4 linked regions of the Astyanax mexicanus genome follow. The protein of the gene in region 3 interacts with the protein of the main gene of each other region in a pairwise test. Links are inferred from orthologs where the notes say so. Each region holds a gene or a part of one and is shown on either strand. Other genes may lie near its edges. The genes, in order: klhl41b, aig1, rchy1 and gorab.

What was found.
Region 1: the proteins of rchy1 (region 3) and klhl41b interact in binary tests that used the Homo sapiens proteins (3 or more experiments, as listed by UniProt). The two-hybrid records come from large-scale screens. The link is inferred for Astyanax mexicanus from reciprocal best matches to the Homo sapiens genes RCHY1 and KLHL41.
Region 2: the proteins of rchy1 (region 3) and aig1 interact in binary tests that used the Homo sapiens proteins (3 or more experiments, as listed by UniProt). The link is inferred for Astyanax mexicanus from reciprocal best matches to the Homo sapiens genes RCHY1 and AIG1.
Region 4: the proteins of rchy1 (region 3) and gorab interact in a two-hybrid assay, tested with the Homo sapiens proteins (3 studies listed by BioGRID and IntAct). The link is inferred for Astyanax mexicanus from reciprocal best matches to the Homo sapiens genes RCHY1 and GORAB.

Annotation. Positions count from the first base shown.
Region 1 is NC_064412.1:53,827,677-53,835,336, reverse strand, and holds the start of klhl41b (kelch-like protein 41b), read left to right. Parts: upstream 1-4,652; 5' UTR 4,653-4,779; coding exon 4,780-5,898; intron 5,899-6,971; coding exon 6,972-7,129; intron 7,130-7,549; coding exon 7,550-7,657; intron 7,658-7,660. Other genes in the region: col28a2b (collagen alpha-1(XXVIII) chain), read left to right, coding at 11-202, 849-856. UniProt on the Homo sapiens protein: Involved in skeletal muscle development and differentiation. Regulates proliferation and differentiation of myoblasts and plays a role in myofibril assembly by promoting lateral fusion of adjacent thin fibrils into mature, wide myofibrils.
Region 2 is NC_064408.1:57,427,749-57,435,495, forward strand, and holds the start of aig1 (androgen-induced gene 1 protein), read left to right. Parts: upstream 1-4,747; 5' UTR 4,748-4,932; coding exon 4,933-5,073; intron 5,074-7,747. UniProt on the Homo sapiens protein: Hydrolyzes bioactive fatty-acid esters of hydroxy-fatty acids (FAHFAs), but not other major classes of lipids. Show a preference for FAHFAs with branching distal from the carboxylate head group of the lipids.
Region 3 is NC_064429.1:11,603,467-11,610,349, forward strand, and holds the start of rchy1 (RING finger and CHY zinc finger domain-containing protein 1), read right to left. Parts: upstream 3,014-6,883; 5' UTR 2,990-3,013; coding exon 2,939-2,989; intron 344-2,938; coding exon 224-343; intron 1-223. Other genes in the region: kcnv2b (potassium voltage-gated channel subfamily V member 2), read left to right, coding at 6,358-6,883. UniProt on the Homo sapiens protein: E3 ubiquitin-protein ligase that mediates ubiquitination of target proteins, including p53/TP53, TP73, HDAC1 and CDKN1B. Mediates ubiquitination and degradation of p53/TP53; preferentially acts on tetrameric p53/TP53.
Region 4 is NC_064408.1:60,386,531-60,394,543, forward strand, and holds the start of gorab (RAB6-interacting golgin), read right to left. Parts: upstream 3,021-8,013; 5' UTR 2,875-3,020; coding exon 2,811-2,874; intron 1,688-2,810; coding exon 1,192-1,687; intron 755-1,191; coding exon 653-754; intron 533-652; coding exon 392-532; intron 1-391.

The sequences.
Region 1 (7,660 bases), on a different chromosome or scaffold from region 3:
CTCTGGTCAGAAATCGTACCCCTGGACCCTCGCTGTGAGCTGACCCTAGACCAGGGTCCATGCCGTGAATATAATATCCGCTGGTATTACGACAAGCAGGCCAACGCCTGCGCCCAGTTCTGGTACGGAGGCTGTGATGGAAACCGGAACCGCTTTGATACAGAGGAAGAGTGTAAAAAGACCTGTGTGGTCTCACAAGCAGGTAATTACTCGCATTTAAACATACAGTCACAATTTTACCCTTAATCTTAAAAAAGTACACCATATAGTTGAATAAATGTCAGCATGCACGCACATCATAATCAAATTACTGAGTAATCCAATCATTGGGTTTACCTAAATTTGGTCAATGATTGGATTTTTGCTTTGTAACCAGCCAATAACTTCACAGAATAAGACACAACATAAAAATCATGTAAAAACTCAAAATTCACACTGAAATTTTATCACATCAAGCTTTAATATGAACATCATTTCAGTGTCACTCTATTTGTGGTACCATGCTCTTTTCTTTTACATGTGCAAATACTGATTATAATATTCACTCTGGTTCAGAGTGTACATGAAGTGAAAAAACACAATTACTGAACAGAATTTCAGCTCTCTTTATCTTATTTGTAATCTATTTATTTTTGTTATCCAGTTTTATAGAAACATTTGCAAAAAAAAAAGTGAACAGACATTGTTTTACTGTCCTTTTTTAATTCCCATCCAGGCTCTCCATATTTAATTTTTTTAATCGGATTTTTGTTTAACGAAAACTGCACCAATCTTACTTACTTGATGTAACTGGTTATCATCAGCATCTACAAATATACTGTATAATTCTCCCTGGTTTGTTCTCACAGGAGGATGATGAACACAGAAGATCTTTGTGATAGAAGATTGACTGTTGTTGGATTAGTATCTGTAATACCTCAACGATCGAGCTCACTGAGAAATGTGCACATAATTGCTGAAATACTGTATGTTGAGTATTTCATTGTACTGCATCAGTGACTTGCTGTGTAAATACTTAATTTTCTTTATTAGCCAATTTCAATTCAAGTATATTTTAGCTCCAGTTGTATTTGTTTTCCTGTTCCTATTCATTTCTAGTCCTTTTTTAGTGATGTATTCCACAACCCACTTGAAACAGTGAGACAGTGAATGTCAGAAGAGTTATTAAAAACCTGCTTCTTATTTGGGAATTGTTTAATTTATGGGGACAATGGTGTCCTTCATTGTCTTTATAATTGTGTCCTAATAGAAAGCAGCAAAAGCCTAATTTAAGAGCACAGAGTCAAGTGAAGGGTTCATCCTCACATATTCAATCCGCCCAGATCTCAGATGCTATGGATTGACTTGAAGAGAGATGTACTTCTAAAGCATCCAAGGGATATGAGAGAGCTAAAGCAGTTCTGCAGGAATAATGGGCAAAAATTTAACGAAGTGCAGATCTGATCCACAGCTACAGAAAGTGCCTGGTTGAGGTTATTCCTGCAATTTTTCCACCACCACTTTTAGTGTTGAATGAGTCATCAAAGACCTGCAACATCATATATATATATATATATATATATATATATATATATATATATATATATATATATATATATATATATATATATATATTATTTTATTTTAGCACATTATATCTGTCAATATCCTTAACTTGAATGATCAGTCCACATTTTATGAAAAATGTATGCATAAACACATGAAACTGCAAAGGATTCACATACATATTTTACTTTCCACTGTATATGGTTGGATATCCCCCCAATCTGCTTATTTTCAGAGCTTGAGCCCTCCCCGCACCAACCCTCTGACTCTTTAATGCAGTTAAATTAGTTTTACACATCAGAAACATCATATTTCCATATTATGTCCTCATTTGGAGATACTGCTGTATGCAATATTAGACTTAACTTTTGTACTGATCCAACCCTACAGTGCCTCTGTGTTTAGAACCAGGCCACTGACGAAGGGCTAAAGGACTAGTGCAATCCATCAACAGATAGGTTTGCTACAGTCTCTAAATGTACATCAGGATATAAACTGAACACTGATTGTTTGACGGGTGCATTATGTATTTAAGGCCATTACCTGATTTGTTGTGAACAGTTGCTATTGTATAATGAACACTGTCAATACTGCAATTTTATGTTTTTGATGTTAGGACATCCTTTGATATTTCTTTATAGGTTTTGTATCATTTTGTGTGTTGTAATCCAAGTTTAATATAGCATACTTTTTTATAAAATAAAAAATGTTACTGAAAAATTATGTTTTACCTTTTTGAACATTCTCAGCACAATGTAAAATAATTTGTCTGATGGCAGTTTAACTGAATATGCAGAATACCGCATGCCTGCCCATAATTAGGCACATGCTGCTGTTTTATGTTAGGTTTATCGGGTTAATTAGAGTTTAAGCACCAAAATAGTTTTTTTATATGACTGAAAATGGTTATTCTATGCCATCACTCTTTATTTTAAAAGAATGTATCTTGGGGTAGCGTAGGACAAGAACATTTAATAGCAACTCTAAATCAAAACGTTTGGACAGTATGATTTTTTTTCCCCCACTATAACGGTTAGTTGAGCCAGTTGGGTTATTTTGCCTGGTCATTTACATAGTGCTGGGCATAATCAAAAATTGGATAAAGTTGGGACAGTAGGTAAAATGCAAATAAACAAAATAAATGCAGTGTTTCTTGCATGTGGTTTGGATTTAATTTTTATCAATTCATAAAAATGCATATCAAAAGGTGATTGTAATCACGATTTGGTCAATAATGAGCAGATAAATTAGTAAAAATAACACAAACTCATACTGTTAAACAAGTGGTATATGATTCTCTGTTACAATTTTTTTTTATGTTTTGCAGGCCTAAAACACATATGCATTTGACATTGTATCCAGCATGCTGGAAATAACAGAGCAAAATAAACCAACAGGCTCAAACCAGCATTAGAGTAGGAAAAAAATAACCCAAAAGCTTTGTTCAGCTGTTGTAACTATTCATTTTGGTCAACAACAGCTTACTAAGCCAAGCTCACTGATTCACATGGTCAGTTTTTTACTGCGTCATCTGCTGTGTGCTGGCTAACAGACGACGCTCACTCACTTACTCTTACACTCCCCTATTGGCATCATTCTCTCTGTGATTGGGGGGGTGAGGTGGGTTGTGTGTGTGAGACAGAGTACCCCCCTCTGTCTTTCGCGCTTTTGACTTAAGTTACATATAACTACCACACACACACACACACACACACACACACACAGGCCTGTTTTAATTATAGTACTATCTCCAACACAACACACGACCCTCTCACTCTAAACTGTTTTCCATGAAATCATAAGATCAGATTCAAAATAAGACTGGAATCCGGCTTCTAAACCAGATTTGTGATTATTATAGTCTATATCAATCAAAGTTTATGATTTGGAAAGAAATATTTTAAATATTTGAGTGTCCTGTAAACTTTGAATATATTTGTGCCATAATTACAGTTCCTATAGATATGTAACATGAAGCATAGAAGCAAAGAACAATAATGAGGTTCCAGTGACTCTAAAACGCTTGATCAAGAGTGTGTGCATGTGTGTGTGTGTGTGGAGGGGGTGGGGAGGGTGGGGTTGGGTGCTGTCACCTGTTGTAGCAGCTGCTTCCCATCACTGTCACTCTGATCTTAGATGTGCTACCATTCACACAAACACACACACACACACAAATGTACAAGTAAAATACATACCACCGAACAAAACATTATACATCTTTACAATGCAACTTCAGAAATGTTATCATGTGAACTTTTACAGAAGTACAAATAGGTTTTATAGATTTAGATAAAATTTTATAGATTATAGACACATTCAGTGTCATATCATTGTAATTGTGATAAGTATGATTCAGCTCATTAAAGCATAAATGAAGAAGAAATTGGAGGCAAAGTTAGATTACCAAGATGAATATTTTTTGATCCTCTATTTTTCTATTGATTTTTTATTTATTTATTCTGTTATTTCTGTTTATATTCTGTTTTTATTCTCTTTTACTTAACATAGTCCATCCATGCTGCTGTTTGCCATGTTTGTGCCATTCAAATTAATGGGGAAAAAATTAGGAATGTATACTGAACGTGTGTGTTATTGATTATGTAAATTGTTAGAGCACATAAAAATACAATATTTACAGCAAATTTAACTTCTCAGAACCTCTAGTTTTTTTCTGCTGCTGGAACAGCTCACTCAATTTATATCGCCAAATTAAAGTTAACAGTTCTTTGCCAAAATAAAATGGAAAATGTTTAACGGAAAATTTATAATACCTGTATTAGGTAGTGCCTTGCGGAACTTAAAAAGGTTAAAATATTGTTATAATTAAAAGACTCCTGATTAATAAATTATTTAGTAGAATTTGTAATTTAATGTATTTCATTATGTGTTAATATTAAAATATTACACAAAAACAGTGAAACACAGTTTTAAACTTAAGGGTTAAATCCTGGTTAGGCCTCTGCAGCCTGTTTTACTGTGACAACTGCTGTCATTGCACTCCCCCTACTCACAGACGGACAGGGGGAACAGGGGGAGCTGCAGAGGGGAGGAGGGTCCAGCCCAGGTTAAATTTAGAAAGCCCAGATTAAATAACAGCTTTTTCAAGCTGCAGATCTTTTTGGTGGTCTGTCCTTTTCCAGCCAGGACTGTGTGGCAAGCAGAAGCCACCCTCTCTCCTCTCTTTCTTCCTCCTTTCTTCTTTGTCCTCCACCACTTACCCTCCTATCCACTGCCATGGATCCCAAAGCACTGAAGGAAGAACTGCGGCTGTTCCAAAGCACGCTGCTGCAGGACGGCCTGAAGGAGCTGCTGAACGAGAACAAGTTTGTGGACTGCACTCTGAAAGTGGGTGACCGCTGCTTTCCATGCCATCGCCTCATTCTGGCCGCATGCAGCCCCTACTTCAGAGAGATCTTCTTCTCTGAAGATGGAAAGATCAAAGAAGACCTCAAAGAGGTCGCCGTGGATGACGTTGACCCCAATGTTCTGGACATGATCATTAAATACCTCTACTCTGCTGAAATCGAGCTGACCGATGACAATGTTCAGGAGATATTCGCAGTCGCTAACCGCTTCCAGATTCCCTCTGTGTTCACGGTTTGTGTGAACTATCTGCAGAAGAAGTTGTCCATGGTCAACTGCCTGGCCATCTTCAGGCTCGGCCTGATCCTCAACGTGCCCAGGCTAGCCGTATCTGCCCGCGATTTTATTGCGGATCGCTTCGAAAGCCTGATGGACGAAGAGGAATTCCTGCAGCTGGCGCCTCATGAACTCTTTGCCCTCATTGGTGGAGACATGCTGAACGTGGAGAAGGAGGAAGTGGTGTTCGAGTCGCTAATGAAGTGGGTGCGAAGCGACAAGGAGAAGCGTGTCAAGTCTCTGGGTGAAGCCTTCGAATTCATCCGCTTCCGCCTCTTACCGGAAAAGTACTTCCAAGAGAAAGTAGAAAACGATGACATCATTAAGGCCGATCCAGAACTCCTGAAGAAACTGCAGGTCATCAAAGATGCCTTCAAAGGGAAACTTCCCGAGATGAAAAAGAAGGAGAAGAAGGAAGGAGAGGTGAATGGAGAAGAAGGAGGAGAGGAGGAAGAAGAAGAGATGTTGCCAGGTTTCCTGAACGACAACCGCAGGCTAGGGATGTATGGGCGTAATTTAATCCTCATGATTAATGACACAGCGGCGGTGGCGTATGACGTGGTAGAAAACGAATGCTTCCTGGCGGCCATGGCCGAACAAGTGCCCAAGAACCACATCAGCCACTGCTCCAAGAGGAACGAGCTGTTTGTCATTGGTGGTCTGTTCGTTGACGAAGACAACAAAGAAGCACCACTCCAGTGCTACTTCTACCAGGTAGGTCATAATATTTTAACTCACAGACAAAAGAGTGACAATTGTGGAAATTTCCTTGCATTTCTATGCAAAAATTACCTTGTACAACGACACAAATAGTACCACATTTCCCCATAGATGTTTTCTTGCTGATTTATCTCAAAATGTATTGTTGATCATTCAAAAACCTCTGTTGAGTTGGATTTTGTACAGTGTAAAAACATTTCATTTGTTTACTTTTGTGCAAATTGCTGTATGTGTAGAGAATACAGTGTTTTAAAGGATCAGGGAGTTAAATAGTCAAATATTTCCCAGGTCCAGAAGGTCTGGTGTCATGGTGTGGGGTGCAACTTATGGCCCTATGACTTTGGCGCACTAATCCATTAAGACAATGCTCGTCCAACTGCTGCAGACTCAAGAGTATGCCACATTGCCAGACATAGCTCTGAATGAAAAGAGGTGGGATACCAAATATTCAAAGCTCTATTGGATGGATTACCACAGAACACCATTAGGAACCTCTACAACTCCAAACCCAGATGTCTGCCATCTTGTGATACACATGCATACACTACTTATATATGTGTAGCTCAATATATATGACAAAGTGTTTCCGAAATCAGTAAAAAAAAGCATTGCAATTTGGCACTTCTTTCTATGTGCAACTATTCTATGTGTATTTTTGCAACCATTTGGATAACTATAGATAACTGGCACTGAAAATAAAGTGAAATCACTAGCGTTACTTCATAGCAGTTTCCTAAGATGCGGCGCTGTGTTATCTAAAGAAACACAAAGATCAGATTGGTATTGGCTGACAATCAGCACAAAAATACTTGGATTTGATCAGGACGTCAGGTTAAGTAAATAATAACATACTCAGTTTGCAAAGTGAGTCAACCAACTGCATGAAGAACAGAAATCTAAAAGTCAGTTTGGCTTATAAAAATTATCATCTGTGAGACCGCAAAACTATCATGACCAATTTTGTCTAATTCATAAATTCTGTTATTCAACAGAACAATTCTAAAAAAATGTTTTAACTGTATTATTGATATTAAAACACTGACTAATCAGTTGTGATTTTATTTCAGTTGGACAGTCTTACATCTGATTGGGTAGCACTGCCACCCATGCCAAGCCCAAGATGCCTCTTTGGTTTGGGTGAATATAATGGTCTGCTGTTCGCTATCGCTGGTAAAGACCTGCAGACCAACGAGTCCCTGGATTCTGTAATGTGTTACGATACTGAGTGAGTAACGTCAATCTGTCATTCTCCTATCATTCTCTTATTGTGTCTTTCAGTTAGAAATGTATACTATCCCAAAGTATTTAGATATCTGCTCTTCTGAAATCAATGGGGATAAAAATGAGCCTATTCTACTTGTGTTGTGAATTTGCAACTTTAAAAGTAGCCGAATGCATTCATAATAGGGGTGTCCACAAGCATTTGGACAAGCAAATGGAATGCAGAGTACTAAACACATTGACATGTAGTCATGTTGTAGTTTGTTTAATAATGTTGCCAAAACTAGTTATTAATTAAAACTATATTAATTCAGCTGTGAATAAGCTGTGGTTTATTTTAGTGTTTTTCCCATTTATATTCTTTTTCATCATTCTTTTGTCTACTTCTGCTTAATGGAAATTTTATCATATGTCATTTTTACAGGAAGATGAAATGGAGCGAGACAAAGAAACTTCCACTCCGCATCCACGGCCATTCAGTAGTCTCACATAATGGCCTGATTTATTGCATTGGAGGCAAGACAGATGATAAGTA
Region 2 (7,747 bases), on a different chromosome or scaffold from region 3:
ATTTCCCCAAATATATTTACTAGTTATTATTAAAACCTGATGCTCTGTTGAGTTTTATATACTCCACCATGCATCTTTCTGATTGCTCATCTCAGCAAGAAACATACTATTTATCTTATCCTAATTTAACAAAGCGATAAGGTTTACCTAAGGTGAAGGACAGGGTGTCTAGTGTTTGTGACCCACAAACCCAAAAGCAAACGTTATGACTGTAAAGCCCGAGAGCCTTTAATGGCTATTTAAAAGAAGCATGGATTTATTGGATTTAACTTAAATAAGGCTGTTTTTGTTTGGAATTAGAGCACAGTGGTACGCTGCAAAAACACAAACTGGTCACTTGCGCTATGGCAAAAAGAATAAACGCTCCAAACAGAAGTGAGTTTACACAGAAGTGTCTAGACTGGAAATGTAGACCCCGGAAACAAGAGAAAGGTCTATAGTAACTATATAGTGTCTGACAGCACTGAATATAAGAACTCTTAATTAATTAATTTTATTAATTAACTCTTTAATAAAATAATAAGAATTTTGCCCAACTGTAAGGATTTATTTTACTTCTAAGGATTATTTCTATTTAATGTTATGACACACGTCACCTTTTGAACCCTAAAAGAAGGACTCCAATTCTCTTTAAAAAAAAATATATGTAGATGAGTTTGCATTAAGCTTTCAGTGTGTGTATTACATCAAGTGCTGCACTCACAATTCTGGAAAGTCTTACACAGCTCCCCACAGCTAACCACAAGCTGCAGAGTGCCCCTGCACTCTGGCAGACCCCAGCAAAAACCCACAGTGGCTGAAGGGCCTACGCAGCAGTAAGCAGGTCTTATGTTTCCTTTGCATTTTCGATTGCTTCACATGATACCTGGGTCAAGTTAAACAAACCCCAAGTTTTAAACATTTGAAAATGAATTACATTTACACATATAGTCTCAGCAAACCTATTCCAATGTTTACATATCTTAACTATCTAAGATACAGACCAGGTAATATATTTGTTTTTAATGAATTGGGAAGCTATTTGGCAGACAGACTTTGCTAATGAAACAGTCTAGATGCATAATACTGATTAAACGGAAGCTGTTAATTCAACTAGTATGTTGGCTCATCAATTAGGTAAATTAGGGTCACAAACCTTAATGCAGTAAATGTTAAAAAAAAAACAGTTTAGTACTAACCTGTAAGTGTTGTAACAGTAAACATTGAGAGTGCAGACATTTCTGCAGGGCCGTGTTTCTTACAGTAAAACTGTCAATCTAATAGACAGCATAAAAAAACAGTTGGCAAAGGTTTTGATTTAGTTTTCTATGTTTTGTCATACTATTTGCTTACACACATTATATGATGTGTATCGGTTAATGTCCAGTTAATCATTTCCTTGCTTATCAGTTACCAGATTTAGCAAGGAAAATGACTAAACTGTACTGAATAATGGCCCTCCAGGAGCAAAGCCAATGACATTTCATAGTAAGTTAGAGTTTCACTTCAGATTTGTTTTGTTTGTTTCAATGTCTTCTATGTAGGACCACACAAACATGATATTGATAAAAAAATCATCTGTACCTTCCTGTACATATGAATTACACAATGCAAAGCTATACTTGGGGCCCTATTTAGCGATCTATGGTCATTTGCGCATCGCACAGCTTGATGCATGCTAGGCCATCTTTATGTAGAGCAACACATTTTTCTTTGCCAGAGTTCTTTGCCATAAGGTGCCATGTTGAAATTCCAGTCACCAGTACGAGAGAATATGAGAGAGTGAAAACACCAAATTTAACTGCCCTGCTCCGCGTTCACACCTGATACCTTGCATCATTAACAAGTCATATGACACTGGAAAGGAAAAATGGCTAATTGGGCAAAATTTGGCAATTGACACTTTGTACTCAGTTTGTTGCCAGTGGTTTAGACATTAATAGCTGTGTGTTAAGTCAGGAAAAGCAAATTCACACTAGTTGTACACTGATTACTTAACATTTGTATTAATATGTCATATCTTCTGTGCTGTCTCATAAAAAGATATAATTAATTATTTACAAAAATGTGAGAGATGTAATTCTGAGAACTGATGTGTACATTATGGTCATTATGGAGTTATACTGGTCATCCATCACTGACTTAGTGGAGCACAGGTCAGAACCCTGTAATCCTCACTTCTCTAGCCACTTAATCGCAGGGACGGAGAACTGTTTGTCGGTGGGAAAGGATTTTCCAGAGCATAAACCTCTTGGCACCCTTATCATGGTGCAGTGCAGATTATAACAGGGGGCAGAGTTTAGCCCACCACTGCCTGACATCTTCCAGAAAGTGATGCACTCAAATGGACAATTATGGATTACATTCCTGCCATGCTTCGAAATCACAGTGAAGAAAACTGGAGAATGTCTCTGATGAGTTATACTAAGGTGCATCATGTGCTTTGCTGTTTTGAAGAGATGGTGGAATAACAGTGTATCTTTGATGCTTATCTGCCATTGCCACTTCTCAGTGTCTTTGATTTATCAGTGTATTTATTAAAGCAACAGTAAAAGATGTGTGTGAAGTGTGATCATGTCAGTAAGCTTGTCTTGGATTGTGCACTTTTTGGAAATGCATCCAGGGTCCTTTTCATTTTGAAGGTCATTGAAGTCATCCTTTTAATTTTGTAGTCTTCCATCTGATACATGTTGTAAGACATTCACAGCCACATGCATTTCAGGGTGGTTCAAAAGGAAAAGTGGACACCAGACAGATCTAAGAATGTGGAAATCTTTTATGTTTTTCTAAACCTAACCTTGGACCTTGACCTCTCTTAACAAAAGGAATTCTTGGGTTGTTTTATTTATTTATTATTTGCAATAAAATATTCATTATTTTCTAAAACTCTTCATGGTGAACAGTAAAATGTCTCTACTCTTCACACAACCACTTAAAATAGATTCGTTCTGTGGTGCATTTTCTGTGTCATGTCTGTATAACTGTAGCTATACTTATCTTTTTTCAGATAACAAATGCACCTTTAGTAAACAAATATGAAGACAGCAAAATGTACGGAGAACACCTGTCATTTATTTAAATGTGTTTATTTTTAGGAAATATTGGAAAGATGGGGAGATCATCCATAGAAGGTCATTCACTTGCAGATGGAGTTTCTTAAACTGAAAATTATTTAAAGGTAACAGACTCCTGACAACCATGATCAGCATCAGACCGGCTCCACTAGATGAATAGCGCTTTCATCTTTGAAAAAAAATCAAGCTTCACACTTTAAATCTGAAAAAAGAAGAACATTTACATTCTGATGCTGCTCATCTGCAGTATGGAATATGACGCATATGTATCATTTGGAAATCTTTTTTTGTAGGTAACAGAACCATGTCTACAAACATACCTCAAGCTAGGTGTGAGATTAGTGCAAGTTTGAACGTATAAAAACATCTGGAGCTTTTTAATAAAGACATCATGAAGGTTACGCTGAATTTAAGCAAACTTTTATTGGCCGAAACCATAAGAAAAAATCTACATCAAGATAATGACCCAGGCACACTGCTTAGAATATCAAGATGTTTGTATCAGAGTCAGATCTTATCATCACGTGTTTGGGATTACTTTGGAAGCAGAGAAGCAGAAAATGCTCCAATTTTTAAGGACTTTGTATGTGTGGACAATTCTCTGCAGATTTCTGTTGTATAGGGGTCTACAGTCTGCACAGAATGAACACTGTAATAATGTAAAGGTGGACAATTTAAATGGTTATACACTGAAGCTTCTGTCTCATTTCTTGTTAGCTGCTAAAAATAACATGTCTGTTTGACTGGGAATAAATAAATGTCTCTGACTTCTGTTCTTATACAGAACATTTTTTTTTATTTTCCAGAGAGAAAAAAGGGTCAAATATGTTCCTTACAGTGAATTTCTGGAAATAGAGAAAACTGGTTTTATTGGGTGTGAGTAAAAGCAGTTATAAGCAGTCATTTCTTACTTTTAGCAATAATGTATCCAGGATAAGAACTAGAGATGTATTCTGTACTTAAGTACTAAAATGCTGTATCTGTATCTACTGGAGAATTATTTTACTTTACTACTGTACTTAAGTATTAAAATGCTGTTTCTGTATCTACTGGAATATTATTGTACTTCACTACTGTACTTAAGTACTAAAATGATGTGTCTGAATCTACTGGAATATATATATTTCTATCCTCCACTTTTACTTCACTACATGTTTGATGAGTTTAATACTTTAACTCTGCTATAAAAAATATAATTAACATTGTACTGCTTTCTGTAATAACTAAATAACACATTAATGTACTTTTACTTTTAGTACTTTAGTATTACATTTTACAATGAACTACTTGCCATACATATCTACAAAAAAATTGAATACTTTAGTACTTAAGTGTGGAGCTTAAAGAACACTTTAACTTCCAATAAAATCACTTTGTTTTACTCAAATCTGGATCTCTAGTATTTTATACATGCCTAAATAAAACCCCATATGTTTTACTGAACAGTATTTTCTGTGTTCGAACAGTTCTTTTCTTGTTTATGGTAATATGTTAATATGTGTTTGAAATATTGTTTTGTTTGTTAAATGTATACTGGTGTCGTGTGCTGTTAGGCACAGTGTTATATGTTTTATGAAAAAGAGACCCTGTGTGTTGTATTATTAAATACGGGCATCTATGGACAACCGCACAAAGCGCAACCGTGCAAATATCGCGAGATTACAGGCAGCGTCAGCTTCACCGTTACTATTAGCAACATCCTCCCTCCCTCCCCCTCTCCGCCGCGCGCATCTTTTACGCCATCACCTCCTCCAGCATCTCGTTGAACTGCGACCCCATCCTCCTCCTCCTCTTCCAGGCGCGGCGCGTCCACAGGATATTATTATTATTATTATTATTATTATTATTATAGTGGGACGGACAGGCGGCGCTGGGGAAGATGGCGCTCATCCCTTCCCAGATCCTGAGAGTCGCGATCCTCCTATCCTACTTCTCCATCATCTGCAACTACAAAGCCATAGACATGCCGGCGCACCAGACATACGGAGGCAGCTGGAAGTTCCTCACCTTCATAGACTTGGTAAGTGGTGCTGCTTATCTGAGAAGCTTCTCCTCCAGCCTGATTGATGATGATGATCACCCACCGGGGCAGACGCCTCTCTCACTCACACACACACACGCACACACACAGCCGGCTCGAGCTGACACTCAGCTGATCCCCCTCACTGAGCCACTACAGACCCCCTCCTGCACCCAGTGATCCAGAGCAGAATCAGGGGAGATCAGGAGGACAGATCACCTGCCTCAGCTCTACTCCAACCGGCCCAGTCATATCAGCGAGCCGATCCCCGGATCAGGCCCGGGTCCACCTGCTTCTGGTATCAGGACCCGATCTCCTGTTAGCACTGAAGCCTAATGTAGGTCAGGTTGATTACCAGGGCCCAGACACGCGCATGCGCACACAGGACGTAGCCGCGTAACTGGCGCGACTGATGTTTTGTCAGTGCGAGCTAATGACTCATGTTTTCCACATAAACGGCTCGTTTTCTCCACTTTTACAATGATTTTAATAGAAGTAAACCAGCAATAAACTTGTTTTCTTATGTTCTTATTGGCACATCTATTCTGAAGTGCCACAATAATAAACGAGCACAGAGCTGAGTAGTAACTCCTAGTAGAGCTTACTCACTTCACTATACTCCTTCACTATTCACCATATAACATTCGCAATATAGTGATTAGGGAACAAACAAACAACTTGTCAAGTTTACATCGCGCATAAACAACACTACCGCGCTGCATTATGGTATACATCAGAAATTTAAGCGTACATCGTCTATAAACAACACTACTGCGCTGCATCATGGTATACATCAGAAATTAAAGTTTACATTGCGCATAAACATCACTACCGCGCTGCATTATGGTATACATCAGAGATTCAAGTTTACATCACGCATAAACATCACTACCGCGCTGCATTATGGTATACATAAGAAATTTAAGCGTACATCTTCTATAAACAACACTACTGCGCTGCATTATGGTATACATCAGAAATTAAAGTTTACATCGCGCATAAACATCACTACCGCGCTGCATTATGGTATACATCAGAGATTCAAGTTTACATCACGCATAAACAACACTACAGCGCTGCATTATGGTATACATAAGAAATTTAAGAGTACATCTTCTATAAACAACACTACCGCGCTTCATTATGGTATACATAAGGAATTTAAGCGTACATCGTCTATAAACAACACCACAGCGCTGCATTATGGTATACATCAGAAATTCAAGTTTACATTGCGCATAAACAACACTACCGCGCTTCATTATGGTGTACATCAAAAATTCAAGCGTAAATTGTCTATAAACAACACTACCATGCTGCATTATGGTATACATCAGAAATTCAAGCGTAAATCGTCTATAAACAACACTACCGTGCTGCATTATGGGTGTTTAATAGTAAACTATATAGGGAATAATATGTAATGGTGAGATTTTGAACAGCACTACAAAATTGTGGGGACACTATACAGTGCACAGCTCGAGTTTGGGACTGGCTTTATGTGCAAGGTATGTATAAAAGGTTTAACTACTGGCTTAATCAAAACCTCTCTCATTCATTGCAATCACATCCCTGAGAGCAAAAACTTTAAATAAACGTTCACTTTTTGGCTGCATTACATGTTTTTAATCTTTATTTAACATTACCTACTAGAAATTGGTTATTGTTAAAGTTCTGACATTACATCAATGTTCATTTATGGTTTTCATCAAATGAACTTTGATTACGTGTACCTTTATATATGTAATAACATTGATCTCTGATGTCGGAATTGATGCAGAAAAGATGCAGAACTTGCTAATTTTCTCCTAAACAGGTAAACACTGAGCTACAATATCTGTGTTAATCTGAAGTATGTTATCAGGATCTAAAATGTATTACTCCAGATTGTGTATTTTTAAAGCAGTGGTGTTTTTATTTTCAGAATAATAGACTTATCAAGCTCCATAATATAGAGTTTATATTGTGTAAACCATAGAAAACATTGCAATATATATACATTTCCTAATCTACTTGAGTATGAGTCATAGTTGCTTGCTATAGCAAAAGTTCTTGAATCTGTCTTATGCTTGTTTGTGTTGGTTCCATGTTCTTAATCTGGCAACATATGTGAGTTTTAAATCTGGGTAGGTTGGGATATGGCAGTGTTTTTAAACTGGACTCTGGTAGCCATTCTATACACTTGCTATCATTTAGTACATATTGTTCCTTTAAGAGTTAAATACTCTAAAGCTAATTTAATGTTTTTGAATATGCTGTCTAATGTCTCATATAGGGGTGTGCCATATCGTATCGTACATGATAATACCGCCAAAAATTTTGAATATCGTGAACAATATCATACCCTGAAATATCGTGCTATGTCCCCCACCCCTAATTTTCACATCATTATCACATTTTACTTTTATATCCTGGATATATGGAGTTATTTGTAGTGCATTATTATTAGTATCATGACATTCTTAATCCATGACTTCTGATACAAATCTGATAAAATTCTTCTCAGTTAGCAATATCATATTGCAGGCAATAATAAAATACTAAATAATTGTTCTAATTCAGTGTTTTGTCATATCGCCAAAAGTATCGTTATCGTGAAAATACCATGAAATATCGTGATATTATTTTAGAGCCATATCGCCCACCCCTAGTCTCATACACTGGCTTTATGTTC
Region 3 (6,883 bases):
ATAATCATTCCTGCATTTATTGAGATGACTAAAAAAAACACTTTATTTAATGGAGTATTTATGTTTTTTTAATGAATCTGCTGCTACTAATGCATTTTGTTTGCATGTAAAAATATGATATTTTACAGTGAAAATCTATTAAAGTATAATGCTAAATTGCTTTATCACATACTGTCCAGCCCTAATTTAAACAATAATAGTTCTAATAGTTAACCGTCTTTACCTGCTGAACAGCGTGACACACTGCACACCTGACCTCTTTAACCTGAAAGCGGTCCATCTGATGATTCTCCTCAGCATCATGGCAGAGTCTACACACGTAAAACTTCCCACAGCAGGGCGCCTGAGGAGACACACACACACACAAAAACTATAATTATTAGTTTTGATTAACTACTAAAATTTCCCAATTGTGTATTTTGGGCTATATATCTATCTATCTATTGTAATGACTTACACACAGTAGCAGTCAACCGTTTGGACACGCCTTCTCATTCAATGTTTTTTCTTTATTTAATTTATTTTCTACATTGTAGACATAATAAAGGTACATGTGCAGAACTACGTAGTAAACAATAAGAAAAGAGTAAAGTATAAAACATATTCTGGTTTGTTTAACACTTTTTGTAAAACTTTAAAATAGTCTTCAATATTAAATTTATAATGTAAAAAAACTAACTGAAAGAGAAAAAAAATGTGTGTACTTCTTGCTGTCTTATATTTAATTTGTTTTATTTATTATGTATGTGTGAAATGAGAATGTTCCTCATTTAGTTAAGACTAAATACCCAATTCAGCAATAAGGAAAATAATAAACTAGCCAATTTTAACACAAATATTAAAACTTTTTTTGCATTTTGGGACTTTTAACACCTTGCAGTCATATATTTAGCAAGCTAGTGCTGGACGATATGGCCAAAATTTATATCACGATATATTCCTTAAATTTCGGTCGATACGATATAATTTCGATATCGATAAATACTTTGAAGGCCTCAGAAAAAGAATCCCTGCAATCTCTGCAGCTTGCACTGCAAATTTAAATTATTATTTAACTGTGTATTTGCACTTTTTGTATCAATCTATCTAATGGAAATCTGTACCTACTACTGTATGAAAATGTTTTTTAAGTCTTTGAAACCTCCTTTCACAAAAACTTTAATACTTTAGAAATAAAAGTAGTCAAAATAAATCAATGCTCAATTTTATTTGCATATAGCAAAATAATAACATGACATCCCTGTCAAACATAAGCCTATATAACTATTACAAATAAAAATAACTTTAAATGACAACAGAGGCAGAGCTTCTTATTCATTGTAAACAAATTTAACAGATTAAAACAAAAGTGTTTTAACTAGGATATATAATACAAGAAGCCTTTATATACATAAAAGCAACAAGATTTTCCCGTCAAATAAACAAACCTATAGGATTTTTCAACTATAAATAACTTAGTGACAACATAATCTATTAAAGTGCTTCAGCCAGAATACAAGAGGTATTCAACATGATATCCACGTCAAATAAACAAACCTAAAGGATTCATAAACTTTAAATAACTTAGTTTCAACATAATCTATTAAAGTGCTTCAGTCAGTATAAGGAAAATATTGTATGTAGTGAAGATGCTTGAGGTGGTGGAACAGATTAGATGTATTAACGTTACGCTGCTTGTCGGCTCCACTCACCGGCACAATTTGCAGCAAAGCGGCAAGCGAGCGGACCCGCGGCTGGGCGAGCGGAGCCGCGGATGAGCGAGCGGAGGCGCGGATGAGCGAGCGGACCCGCGGCTGGGTGAGCGGAGCCGCGGATGAGCGAGCGGAGGCGCGGATGAGCGAGCGGAGGCGCGGATGAGCGAGCGGACCCGCGGCTGGGCGAGCGGAGCCGCGGATGAGCGAGCGGAGGCGCGGATGAGCGAGCGGACCCGCGGCTGGGCCAGCGGAGCCGCGGATGAGCGAGCGGACGAGCGAGCGGAGCCGCGGATGAGCGAGCGGACGCGCGAATGGGCGAGCGAAACAGCGGCTGACCGAACCGAGTCTACCCTAGCCTTGGATCCGCTCGTCCCGGCTCCGTTTCGAGACATTTTAGATGCGTAGCGGAGCGGACCTGAACCTAACCTAGCCTAGCCTAGCCATTTTAACCTAGCCTAGCCTAGCCTATCTGGCTACGTGCCTGTGTGATTGCGTCATCACGCACTGAGGTAGCACAGCTATGGGGGCTGAATGTGTTTGGCTCTGCGGCGAGCTGACGCCAGTAAAAAACGCCTGTCCGTGACAGATTCTGTACATAATACATATCGATATACCACAAAAGTGATATCACCGTTATTGAAACATTTCTTATCGCGATAAATACCGATATCGAATTATTGTCCAGGCCTATAGCAAGCTATCTTTATCTGGACCATATAAATATGGTTTATTTTTATGATTTTAATATGTTTTATAGCAGAGAAGTCACGTAAACAAATACCTTTAACTAATGTTAGATTACCTGTGCAGCAAAGATATGCTCAGTGTAGCCAGATATGCTCACCAACTCCACATTTATTCATGTTAATCTCAGGTAAGTTTAGTTAAACTCGGATTATTCGGGTTTAAATGTGCAGCAAATTCTTTTAATCGAATTTTTTTTCTTTATTTTATAATGTTAACCTAGCCAACTCGCTTATTTTAGTAATTTCCCTACAGAAACACACTGCTGATGCTTACCCAGCTAACTAGCTTAGCTTAGCTAATTCCCTACTAGAACACACTGCTGATGCTAAACTAGCTAAGTTAGCTACCAGGCTAGCCGGCAAACTGCGGACATTCAGAGCGAACTGAGGATATATATCAGATTTAACGCGTTTTTTTCTGCTGTAATATCAGTGTAGAAATGTACCCAGCTGCTTATTAATCATAAACAAGCGATAATAAATAAAATCAGGACTTACTTTCAGCAAACAGCTCCGAACATAATGCTCACAGCCCGCTTCTGCAGCCATGATTACTTATATAGCCCCCCCCCCCCCCCCCCCAACTTTATTTAAACCACAGACACACACAGCGCTGAGATTCACCTCATAATAAACATATATACAGCTCTGAAAATAAATAAGAGGACTCTTAAAAATGACGAGTTTGTTTTATTTTACCACATTGAAAACCTCTGGAAAATAATCAAGAGGAAGATGGATGATCACAAACCATCAGACCACCAAACTGAACTGCTTGGATTTTTACACCAGGAGTAAAGCAGCATAAAGTTATCCAAAAGCAGTGTGTAAGACTGGTGGAGGAGAACATGATGCCACGATGCATAAAAAAACTGTGACCAGGGTTATTCCACCAAATATTGATTTCTGAACTCTTAAAACTTTATGATTATGAACTTGTTTTCTTTGCATTATTTGAGGTCTGAAAGCTCTGCATCTTTCTTTGTTATTTCAGTCATTTCTAATTTTCTGTAAATAAATGCTAAGTAAATGAACAGTGAAGTGATCCAGTTATCATGTCTTATCTGGGAACTTGCGGTTTCTGAGGCTGGTAATGCTGATGAATTTATCCTGTACAACAGAGGTAACTCTTGCTCTTCCTTACCTGGGGCAGTCCTGATGAGAGCCATTTCCATCATCAGAATGTTTTTTGACTGCACTTGATACTGGATATTTTAAAAGTTTTTAAATTGACTGCTGCCCCTCAGTCCTGCTGCCCCTCAGTGCTGCTGCCCTGGCCTGTATAAGAATCGGGCTATTAAAGGCTTAGTCGGAACCTCCCAAAACACAGAAACCTGGACTCGGGCCTGGAAACAGTGCAGCTCATCCTTGTGTAACTGGCAGCGGGTCGATGTGTAAACAGGGATTTAATACTGATGATTAAACAGCTTTATCTGGAGTACAGGAGCAAACTGTACGCAGACTCACACTCTGCTTCTCATCGTTACGATCCGGTCAACATCGATATCGTAAAGCATGTTGTTTTATGTTGCAGCATAGATTAAATTTCATTAAACTCTGTGTAACATCTTTCTTCAATTTATACTGTTTTCTTCCCAGGCCACTGTTAGGCTTCTACGAGATGGCTGCTCTGGTATCATAAGTGGTTGCCAGGGTGTTTCTAGGCAGTTTATATGAGGTTCCATGATGTTGCTCTATGGTTAATATTATGTTCCAGTCCACTGAAATTATTTAGTTAGGTGGTTGCTGGGGTGTTGCTACGGAGTTTATATTATGTTCCAAGCTGTTGCTGGATTGTTATTATGATGTCCCATGCCATTACTAGGATTTTGTGAGATGGCTGGTCTGTTATCATAAGTGATTGCTAGGGTATTGCTAAACAGTTTATATGATATCCCATGGCACTGCTAGGATTTTATAAGGTGGTTGCTCTGGCATCATAAGTGGTCATCATAAGCTAAGGTGTTGCTTGCAAAATGGCTTTGCTGGGTGGTTGCTTGGGGGACAAGTCATGATTGTAACAATACAGTCAGGAAGAATTTCCAGTTTCCATACCTTTTCCTATTAGTTTCCATATATGTTGTGAGACATGAACCCTGGGCCCACCTCATTGCCTAGCCTCAGCTGAGCTTTAAAGCATTGCTGGACTTAAAGCTTGCTCATTAATCCCCAAGAAATTACTAAATATCCGAAATCCTTATATTTTGGGGTCTTAAGCCTTTGAGAGCTCACACACAATTGATCCCACAGTGTCATAATAAAGATACTGAACTGGTGCATTTGTTCCCTCAAGATACAAACAATAAACATACAAAGTCGTAAAGCTCCCACTATATAAAGGTTTACTATCTTTAATTTTGGGTTTGCTAGTAGTTCTTCTTAGCCTGTACTCTTGCCATTTTCTCAAGCACCTGTTTGATATTTTTATGACATCACAGAAGAACACAGCACACTGAACTACTGAAAACAAGTCTAAACTGTGGACTGTAGCCATAAATATCCTCAGTCCTTCAGTAGATGGTCAGGGGGTGACTGGGACAAATCTCAGTCCAATCTGGACTTCAGTAATTAGGGGAATCTTTGTCCTTTAAAAGCTATCAGGCAACAGGTGGTGCAGAAGTTACAGCAGATGGGGGTTCATGACCTACTGACTGAGGCATTAAATCCCCATTGAGTACCTCCGAGATTCAGAATATTACCTCACCCTTTCAGACTTTAGCATTTCGGGTTTCCCTGGAATTATAGTAACAGTTATATACACCATTTAGCAGATAATGTAGCTAACAAGCAATCTTATGAAACCTTCTGTACTTAAGATATTATGTAACTTCAAATCTCTGTCTAGCATAGATCAGAATTTAGTGTCAGGTTGGGCTTGTGTCTGTGTTACCTTCTGGCTCTCTCTCCCTTTAGTTAGCTAAAGCTGTTATATTTGCACTCTCAAATAATCTGATCACATTCTCTGTAATAAATAGTTTAATTTCATCACTTTAGTCAATGGTTTAAAAATTAATGTTCAACCTAACACTAATAGATCTCTTTAAACATTGGGCTCTCCTGTCATCCACCACAGACTGCCTGCCCATTTGCCTGGGACTAGATGCCCAACCTCCACTACCAACATCTAATTTTGTAATTTCTGTGATTTTTGTTGTTATTATTATCATTAATACTACCCATCATTACTACTTTCTTATTCTAGCCATCTATATCCTTGGTTGCTGATGTTTTTTATGGTTTTGTAATATTTGATCTTTTCTCTTATGACCAACTCCATAAATATATTTTATTTTAATACTGATTTGAGTAACCCTGTGTTCTAACCACTAAGCTACTACCATGGCCTGGTAAAACCTTAGAGAACTTTGGAACGTCCATTAATTTGAGTAATGAAAGGGCTTTCCTACACAGTTATAGAAACTCCAGGAGCAAGGAATCCCGAGCTACGTCAGAGAGAAGGGCAGTGGCTTACAGGAGGATAATTAGCATTAGCATTTAAAAGGTACAACAGACTGTTGGCTTGGAGTCATCACTGCCACCCTGCTTCCTTCTGGCCTTCTCCTGCTTTAAATATGGCAGCATTAAGACTCTGTAATTCTCCCTCGCAAGCACCTTTGGCGGGAGCACCGAGACCAGATGGAGCAGGCAGAGATCACAGAGTGAGCCATGTCTAGAAGCTTCCACCAGGTCCAGGACTTCTGCTCTCACTGGGACCTGACTAAAAGTATCAGGAAGGTTTCTGTCCAGTATATTTTGATTTATTTAACCTTCTATAGGACATTTTTGGAGGAAAATGTGCTGGGAATTCATAGACAGCGTAGTCTTGAAGGTCTCTTTTCTAGGAACTAGCCTGGATGCTAGTTTTGATGCTCCACATGATGAATGAACGGAGGTCCTGACTGTAGAAGACTTGCAGGATGTTCCGAAGGCAAAGTCTCTTCCCTGGTGCCAAGATTCCATCTGAACAGGAATCCAAAGACAGTCTTCTCCCATTTGCCAAAGACAATGCGTTCAAGCAGTGGAGCTCTCTGGGTGACATTTATGATCTTTACGCTGAAGATGAAGAGGAGCAAGTCTTCAGCAGGTCACCAAACCCTCGCTTTCACGTTCCCTCACCTATGAGAAACCGCATCCTCAACATCAACGTTGGAGGCAAGTTGTACCAGATTTCCTACAAGATGGCCGCAAGGTTCCCCAAGAGTCGGATTGGCCAGCTGGCCGCCTGCACAGACCCTGGAGCGAAGCTGGACCTGTGTGATGACTATGTGGTGCAAAATGACGAGTATTTCTTCGACCGGGATCCAAATGTCTTCAACAGCATCTTCAACTTCTACAGGACAGGGGTCTTGTGGATCAGGGATGAATTGTGCCCCAGGAACTTTCTGGAAGAGATCGGATACTGGGGGGTTAGGGTAAAAACTGCGCCACGCTGTTGCCGGATTG
Region 4 (8,013 bases), on a different chromosome or scaffold from region 3:
ACATGATATGGGTAATGCTACAGTAATGCTTTCCATATATCCAGGATGAAATAGAACCAAATAATACTGGATATTTATAATCTGTTTGTAGATGGATATTTAATGGTAAACGAGAACAGTGTGATTTTTTTTTGCTGCAAACAGCTAAAAAGAAGTAATGGCTATTTTTTTAATAATAATATTCAGTATTAATTTTGGCAATATTATTGTGTGTGATGTGATATGGCACACCCTAGTAGAAAAGGTTTGATATTTCTAACCTTTTCTTATTTTTGCCTAAAATGTGAATTCTGACAGTATGCACTCATACTACCTGACAATACCATTACCTAAAAACTGAACGATTACCATAAAATCTGTGTCAACTGTGACATTGACAATATATTGTTACCATGCTAAGGAATACTCCAGACTGGCTTGTTCAATCAGCTTCCTCAGAATCGAGATGTCATTTGAAACGGAATCATCCAAGACCTGGAGCTCCTTCTGAATCTTCTTCAGCTTCACAGCTTCTGCTTGTGTCTGCTTAGATCTATGGAACAAGAAGTTCTGCTTAACAAACTAAAACAATCTGTACAGGTTTCAGCTGATTTGGGGCACCAGATAATTCTCAGAAATGGATGTCATTAGTAAATTAGTGTGTTGCTCATACTTTTCAGCGATGGTCTTAGCTAGGAGTGCTTTCCTCTTTTTATTCTTCTCTTCCATCACCCGCTGCTCCCACTGAAGCTGCTGTAGACGAGTCTTTTCCCGTCTGAAATAAACAACAAAAAATTTAAATTGAAGTACTGCATGTACAATCCAACAAGGGGCAGTTCTGCACAATTTACACTTTGCAGTTACCTCATCTGAATATAGCAATCAAGCTGTTAAATTCTTCATTATGTAAATTTAGTGTATATTACTACTCCATTCCTTACACATTTTTTTTCTGTGTTTCATAATCGTTCACATTTTTTTCCTATTTTATGGTTATTTGACATACTTTCTTCATATATTATTATTGCTTCATGTGAGCAGGCAGTTGTCAAAGCATTTCAATGCTAGTTGAACTATAAACATTTTGATTGACGCAGTTAATAAACCAATCTTACTGATTAAAAACATTTACATTAAAGGCATAGTTTACTACTTTATTTTCTTTTTTTACTCATTTCTGTCACTCTCTGAAAAGGCACTAGACTTACTAACAGTTCCACTTCCACTTTGTCCAGCTCCTTGATGCTCTCTGCTGCATCCTCGAGCCGTGGATCTGACTCATGCTTCACTTCACCCGGCTCTGGCAGCTTCGACTCTTCGCTTCTCTGAGCAGATGGTTTGCTCTGAACTGTTTGGTTGAGGTTTGGGCTGGGGCTGAGATTGGGGACATGGCTGAGATTGGGGACATGGCTGAGATTGGGGACATGGCTGAGATTGGGGACATGGCTGAGATTGGGGACATGGCTGAGATTGGGGACATGGCTGAGATTGGGGACATGGCTGAGATTGGGGACATGGCTGAGATTGGGGCTGGGGCTGGGTGATGGAGGAGGTTTGAGCTGCTGGTCAGGCGATAGTGGAGATCCATGGCAATCTTTCTGTTTAGCGGCCAACTGCAGAGCTCTTTCCCGCTGCAGCTGCTGCCTGCTCCGATTAGTGGGAGCAGCTCTCCGCCCTCGTCCCATCACAGCGAGGACAGCAGGATCACCTGTTCAGACAAACCAGACAACATTTATCTCTGTAGCAAACAACAGTATATTTAAATTCATTAACTCAGATAGAAGTATAGATACTAGTGGTTAAAAATACCAACTTACTTTAACCTTTTGACTCTTAAAGTATAAAAGAAAAAGTATAGTAAATGAAATAATGCCATTAAAGACAAAAGGACAGGCTGCACTACAGGGGCTTATAGTGCACCACCCACCACCCTGCCCAAAACACATTTTTCTAAAAGACATGACGACTATAATGTTATATTAAAATGTTAATGTGAAATAAATTGGGATGCACTACGCCCCTTGTTTTAGTTGCATATATGACCATTGAAAAGAAATGTATTTGAGTACAATTTATTAAAGAAGCTTAGTTGGGACATTTGGCTAGAGTTGTCTTGAGTCTCTGCACGGCTCATCTTCATACTAGGCTACTATTATCTGCTATGTTCTTGCTGGAGTGTGGGCAGGTGTGATAGATTGTATAAACCAATAGGACTGTTTTTATTTCTCAGATTTTATTTATCAGACTCACTCTATCTGGATGAATAGATTTATCTAGATAGCTTTTTTGACATTGAGGAGCTTGAGAAGGCTATAAAACAAAGTAAAAGTAAAAAGTCGTCTGAAAAATAAATACTACAGTAAAGTTTTAATAGCCAAAATGTTTACTTAAGTTTCTTGACAGATCTGGCAGGGAACGCGAGATTAATTGATTACATAATTAATTAATTGAATAACAGTATGTAAACGATACCACATTAAAGGGTTATTTGGAATTTCCTATTTAACATTCCGTTCCACCTTAAAATGTACAGTAGCTGAACATTGATCATACAGTCCCTTGATCATACACGCTGCAGCATTCAGTTAAGGTGGAACGGGAGGGGCTAACTTAATGCTAAATGCTAATGCTTCAAGCTAACTTCACAACATGTAGCTGTTTAGCTAATTAACGTTAAACTGGAAGGAATCGTACTGTAGGCTACACACGGTTTGGTTTAGAATAATAAAGTTTCACGGGCGTGTTACTGGATTCACTATGGTTATTTTACTGGTTTTGTGCTGAAGCTCCAGGATCAGTGGGGCTCTGAGCGGTAGCTGCAGTGAACTTACTGGTCTCGCCTTTCTGCTGTAATCTCCTCAGCTCCTCATCTGAAAATCCAGCCCACGCGGCCATTCCTCACCTACAGTCTGTCCGTGCTGATTCAGAGAGTTCTCACACTCACACACCGCATCCCCGCAGCTCAGACCCGCAGCTCTCAGCTCTCCAACACCCAGCGGACATGTCTGTGTACAGACCTGCCACGTCCAAGACCTGCCGCAGGACCCACAGGAGGAGACTGATCTGTTCCCCGTTCAAAAAAACAACCAGACTGAGTTCTCCTGCGATTATCCTGATTATTCTCTTCTCGCCCGACTAAACTCATCATCATATTTAAATATATAGAGTTTAAACAAAGCCCGTTTTTACTTGATAAGATTAAGGTGTTGAAGGACAGGCAGTGTGCGGGAAGGCACGACAGTCCTGCAGGCTGTAGTCCGGATATATATCACCCGCATTCCTGAGGACTATGGCTGTGACCGAAATGGCTCACTATTTACTAGTTAGGGCACTATTGAGTATGTCAGCCATTTTTCTTTGAGTGTCCGAATCTTAAGGGGGGATTCGAACGTGATTTTGAGGGCACTAAAAACTCCCATAATGCATCATGATTTATAGTAAACTTCGCTGCTTAATAAGCGAGCTGAATGTGTCCCAAAATGCATTGCGGGTCTCGCTACTAAGCAACAGACAGCCGAAGAAATGGAGCGGACAGTAGAGGTGGGCGATACCGGGAATTTTGGTATTGATCCGATACCAAGTAAATGCAGGGCCAGTATTGCCGATATCGATACTGATACCGATACTTTTTAATATTTAAGCTTTATAGATCCAAAAACCTAGGATATAATTTCACCAAACATTGTAAGTGATAACAAAATACTTTAGTATCACAATCAACATTTTTTGTTTAGAAACAATGGAACAGTAACAAAACAAAGTTTAAATATAAAGTAAAAAAATATTAAAAAATAAAATAAAAATTCTCCCCTCACTAGACATCTTAAGTTCTTTCTTTTTTTGTTTCTTTTTTTAAATAGAATTGTCATTTGGAAAAACAATAAAAAATAAGGAATTGTCTTCCTTTCAGTGCAATTCAAATGCAAGTTTTTCTTAAATCCGCCCACCTCTAGCGGACAGCGAGCCACCAGGGTTGCCAGATTGTTACAATGGGATTCAGATAAAACCAATTCACAGGGTAAAACGTGTTTCAGATCCACAAATTTACTGAGAAAACCACCCAAACAGCTGATATTCGTCATATTAACAATATTACAGGGTTTATTCCAACATGATCTTAACTAAAATATCATAAATATCTTAAATATCACTGTTACAAAAAATATATTTAAATGAGTTTATCTGCATATTTGTATTATGTGTTTTTTGCCTTGTATCATTGGACACACGAAACAAAAACGTAAAAACAGTACATAAAAACAACCTTGCAAGCAATGAAAGAATGAAATTACTTACTTACATATAATAACGAATATAAACACAACTTCAAATTTCCATCAGTAGGACTAAAAGCTCTGACTTTGCAGGGTTAGATATCTAACTATAACACCACCGAGTTAAATTTCCAAACTCTTTACACTTGGTAGTTTTGTTCACCTGTCAAATCACAGCGTTTCCCCCAGACAATTTCAGATACAACTCGACATTTGGCATGATACCACCCAATCTGGCAACAGAGCGAGCCGGTGTACGCTGCTATTTTTAAGGTTTTCTTCATGACGTTCAGTAATGTGAGCAAGGGCGTAGGAGCGGGCTTGATATTGGGGGGGACACATTTGCCAATATGAACCCAAGCCCACCCTATAGTTTCCTAGAACAACGTTTGTGGAAATTACTTGAAATTAAAAGTAAATTATTATTATAAGGTGATTTTACAACCTAAACAGGTTACTCCACGTACAGTTACTGTTGTTAGAAAAAAATATGCATGCAATGTCTGAATTATATACATATGACAAAAATTATCAGTTATCACCTAATATTTAAAATAATATAACAGATTTGGTTATTATTATTATTATTATTATTATTATTATTATTATTATGTATTGGCATGTCAATTCTGTCATATATTTACATTTTCTCCTGCGCTTTTATTTTTTTTTCTACTGAGAGCTCTTCTTAAGATGGTGTCCTTTTATGTAAAAGAATGTAACTTTACGTTGCATAGAGATTTTTATAAACATCAGGACATGTGGTCTTACTGTGAACTACAAATGAACAGAAGTCACGTTACAGCAGTATTTCTCAACCCTGTTCTTACATATTCTACTGCATATTAACACTGTTCTGCATGTTCTTGAGCTTCCTCTGCTTTAAAGGCATTTAATAAAGTGGTGGTATGATGTGTCTAATACACTGCTGGATTTACATGATTAATTTAGGCTCCATAGGGGGCTAAAGGATTTTAACAGGTAAACTCAGTAAATGACTGTTTATTAGCTGATCAGGTGGAAAACACAGATTTAGGGCAGCGATCAGGGTTAAGAAACTGCTTTAAACTACAAACATAAAGTACTGTACTAAATCCTGGCTATCCATGTAGCTTCTAGTTAACTAGTTAGTTAAATTCATTTTCGTTCATTATAGCTCACACTAAGTCCTGCAATCCTAAATTAATAAACAGTTTGAAAATGAAATAGTGATTAGCTGATCAGGTACAGGTCAAGTTGAACATTACATATATATATATTTTTCTTTAACCCTGACTCCCTATCTAATTAATTTAAATTAAACTAACTCACTAACACAGCTGCAGTTTATTAAGAGCTTCACTAACTTTAATTCAGAGCTCAGTTCAGTGTGTTTATGGAGTTTTAAACACGACTCAGCCCTCTCTCACCTGTGTGTGTTTATGCGAACGGTTCTGGCGCATGATAATGATGAGTTAGTGTCCGAATTCACTCCTGTTTTACCACTAATTGGTGAACTTATTAGTATCTCCCTACATAGCGCAACACTAATGAGGTAGTAGGGAGCCATTTCGGTCACAGCCTATACCTCTGAGATTCGATTTAAGATTGCGGTGACATCATGTAAAAAAAAAAATAAATAAATACGTGGCCGCGACTTATTAAGACGTGGGAATGAGATACCAAGGCGTGGCCACAACTTAAGAAGGTGTGGAAATTAGATAATTAAGGCTTATGAATGAGATAATTCATGGCCAAGACTTATTAATGCGTAGGAATAAGATCGTAAGGCGTGGCCAAGACTTATTAAGGCGTGGGAACTAGATAATAATGCATGGGAATTAGATAATTAAGCCTTGTGAATGAGATAAATAAGTCATGGCCAAAGACTTATTAAGGTGTGGGAATGACTTATTAAGGCATGGGAACTAGATAATAATGCGTGCGAAAGTCACTATACATACAGTAATTTACTACTCTAGCTGCAGTGGAATTAGTGTGTAGCTAATAATTTAGGAGATAGTGTAGGCTTTGATTCATAGTAGCAAATTTGTCTCGCCCAGTGTTAAACCCCCAATGTTGAACACCCCTGAGTGGAAACTTTGTTTGGTTTGTTTTGGGCTGAAATTCTGACGAACAGTCTGACTTGGCAATTTTGACCAGTTGTTTCACTTGTAAACTTTCTCACAAGACAATCCCATTTATATCATATTCTCTATTCTTTACAAATCATTAAAAAATGTATTTATTGAGTGTTATTGGTTTAGTTATTAAATTATATATATGTTTAATAGTAGCCAGGAGTAGGCAGAAATAGTGTGTGTTAAATCAGTGTTTTTCAAATACAGTTCTATTTTCAATCTGCGTTTATGTCAGTTTAGAGCATACTATATCTGTGTATTCTGAGTATTTTGTGTTTGTCTATATAGTCCTACTAAGAAAATGATGTAGATGTAAATATTGTATAGAGAGTAACTAAATGTTTTCCTCACTTGTCATTAAATAATATTTAATCTTAAGTGAATACTGCTGACATGAACCAACTAAAACATTAGCTTAATTGTTCATTAAAAATGCAATGCAAAGTAAGTTTTTGGCTTTTAAATAATGGTAATATAAGAACATAGGTATAATGACTATGAAGGCACTACTTAAATCAATTATCCTGAGTAGATTTTAGCTTTTAAATAAGGCACATTTAAGCAATTCTCCATCAGTTTGCCTCAATAGCAGCTTCAGCATTCCACCTGAACAAGCTTTTAAATGTCAGGAGAACATTTTCCTCAGTTTGTCCTTTTGTATAGTAATAATGTAAGGTCAACACACAGCATGGGGTAGGTAAAGTCAATGTGAAAAACATGTTGCACAATTAACAAGAATGAAGAATGTTACTAATTGTACCTGTTTTTATTCAGTGTTAACAATCTGAAATAAGCTATTATGAGACCTTTAAAGGTCAATGACCTTAAGTGGTTTGTAGATTAAGTCAGGGCATGTTGTGCTTGAGTGTGTAAATATGTGTTTATGTCTTAAACAGTCCTTCAGGAAAGCAGAAATCAGTGTGCTGGAGCCAGAAACTAACTTTGTTTATTTGTTTCTATCTGTTACCCTCTTCACCTCCAGCCAGACCTCGCGCTCTTTCTCTTACGAGCGGAGAGGTTGAAGGTCAGTGAAACAGAAAGCTGGATGTAAACAGTGCAGGGCATGCCGTTGATATGGACCGTCAAACAGTCTGATCAAATGTTACTTTTTACTCTCAGGGGAGCGTCAGTGATTGTGACAGGAGAGAAGGCAGATGTCAGACTCTGTGAGGTCTAAGGAGAAATCATTTCTTCAGATCCAGTTCAGTGATCAGTTAGTATCTCACCTTATGGACAGACACACAAAGCAATGTCTGATTATTTCCAAAGCTGTAAAAACATTTAATTGTCTTCAGTTCATGATGTTGTATATTCTGAGTGTAAATGTAAATGTAGTGGAAGTGTGGAAAGTCTTTCTATACAGCACAGGGTTCCCTTAGTGTTGTAGGTAACATATCTTTTTAGCAGTTTAAACACATTTGCTCAGAATGCAGTGTAATTGCAGACGAATGTTTAAAATATTATTGTAAAATTCTCATATCTAAGTCTTTTATGATCTCAAAATGCATATTATTACAAATAATTATAAACTTATAAAATTTTCAAAAAATATTCAGAATGATAAACAGAGCAACGGATGGTTGTATAAAAAGAGATATCAATTAGAAATATATAGTTCAATATACTGTATGTCCTTGAAA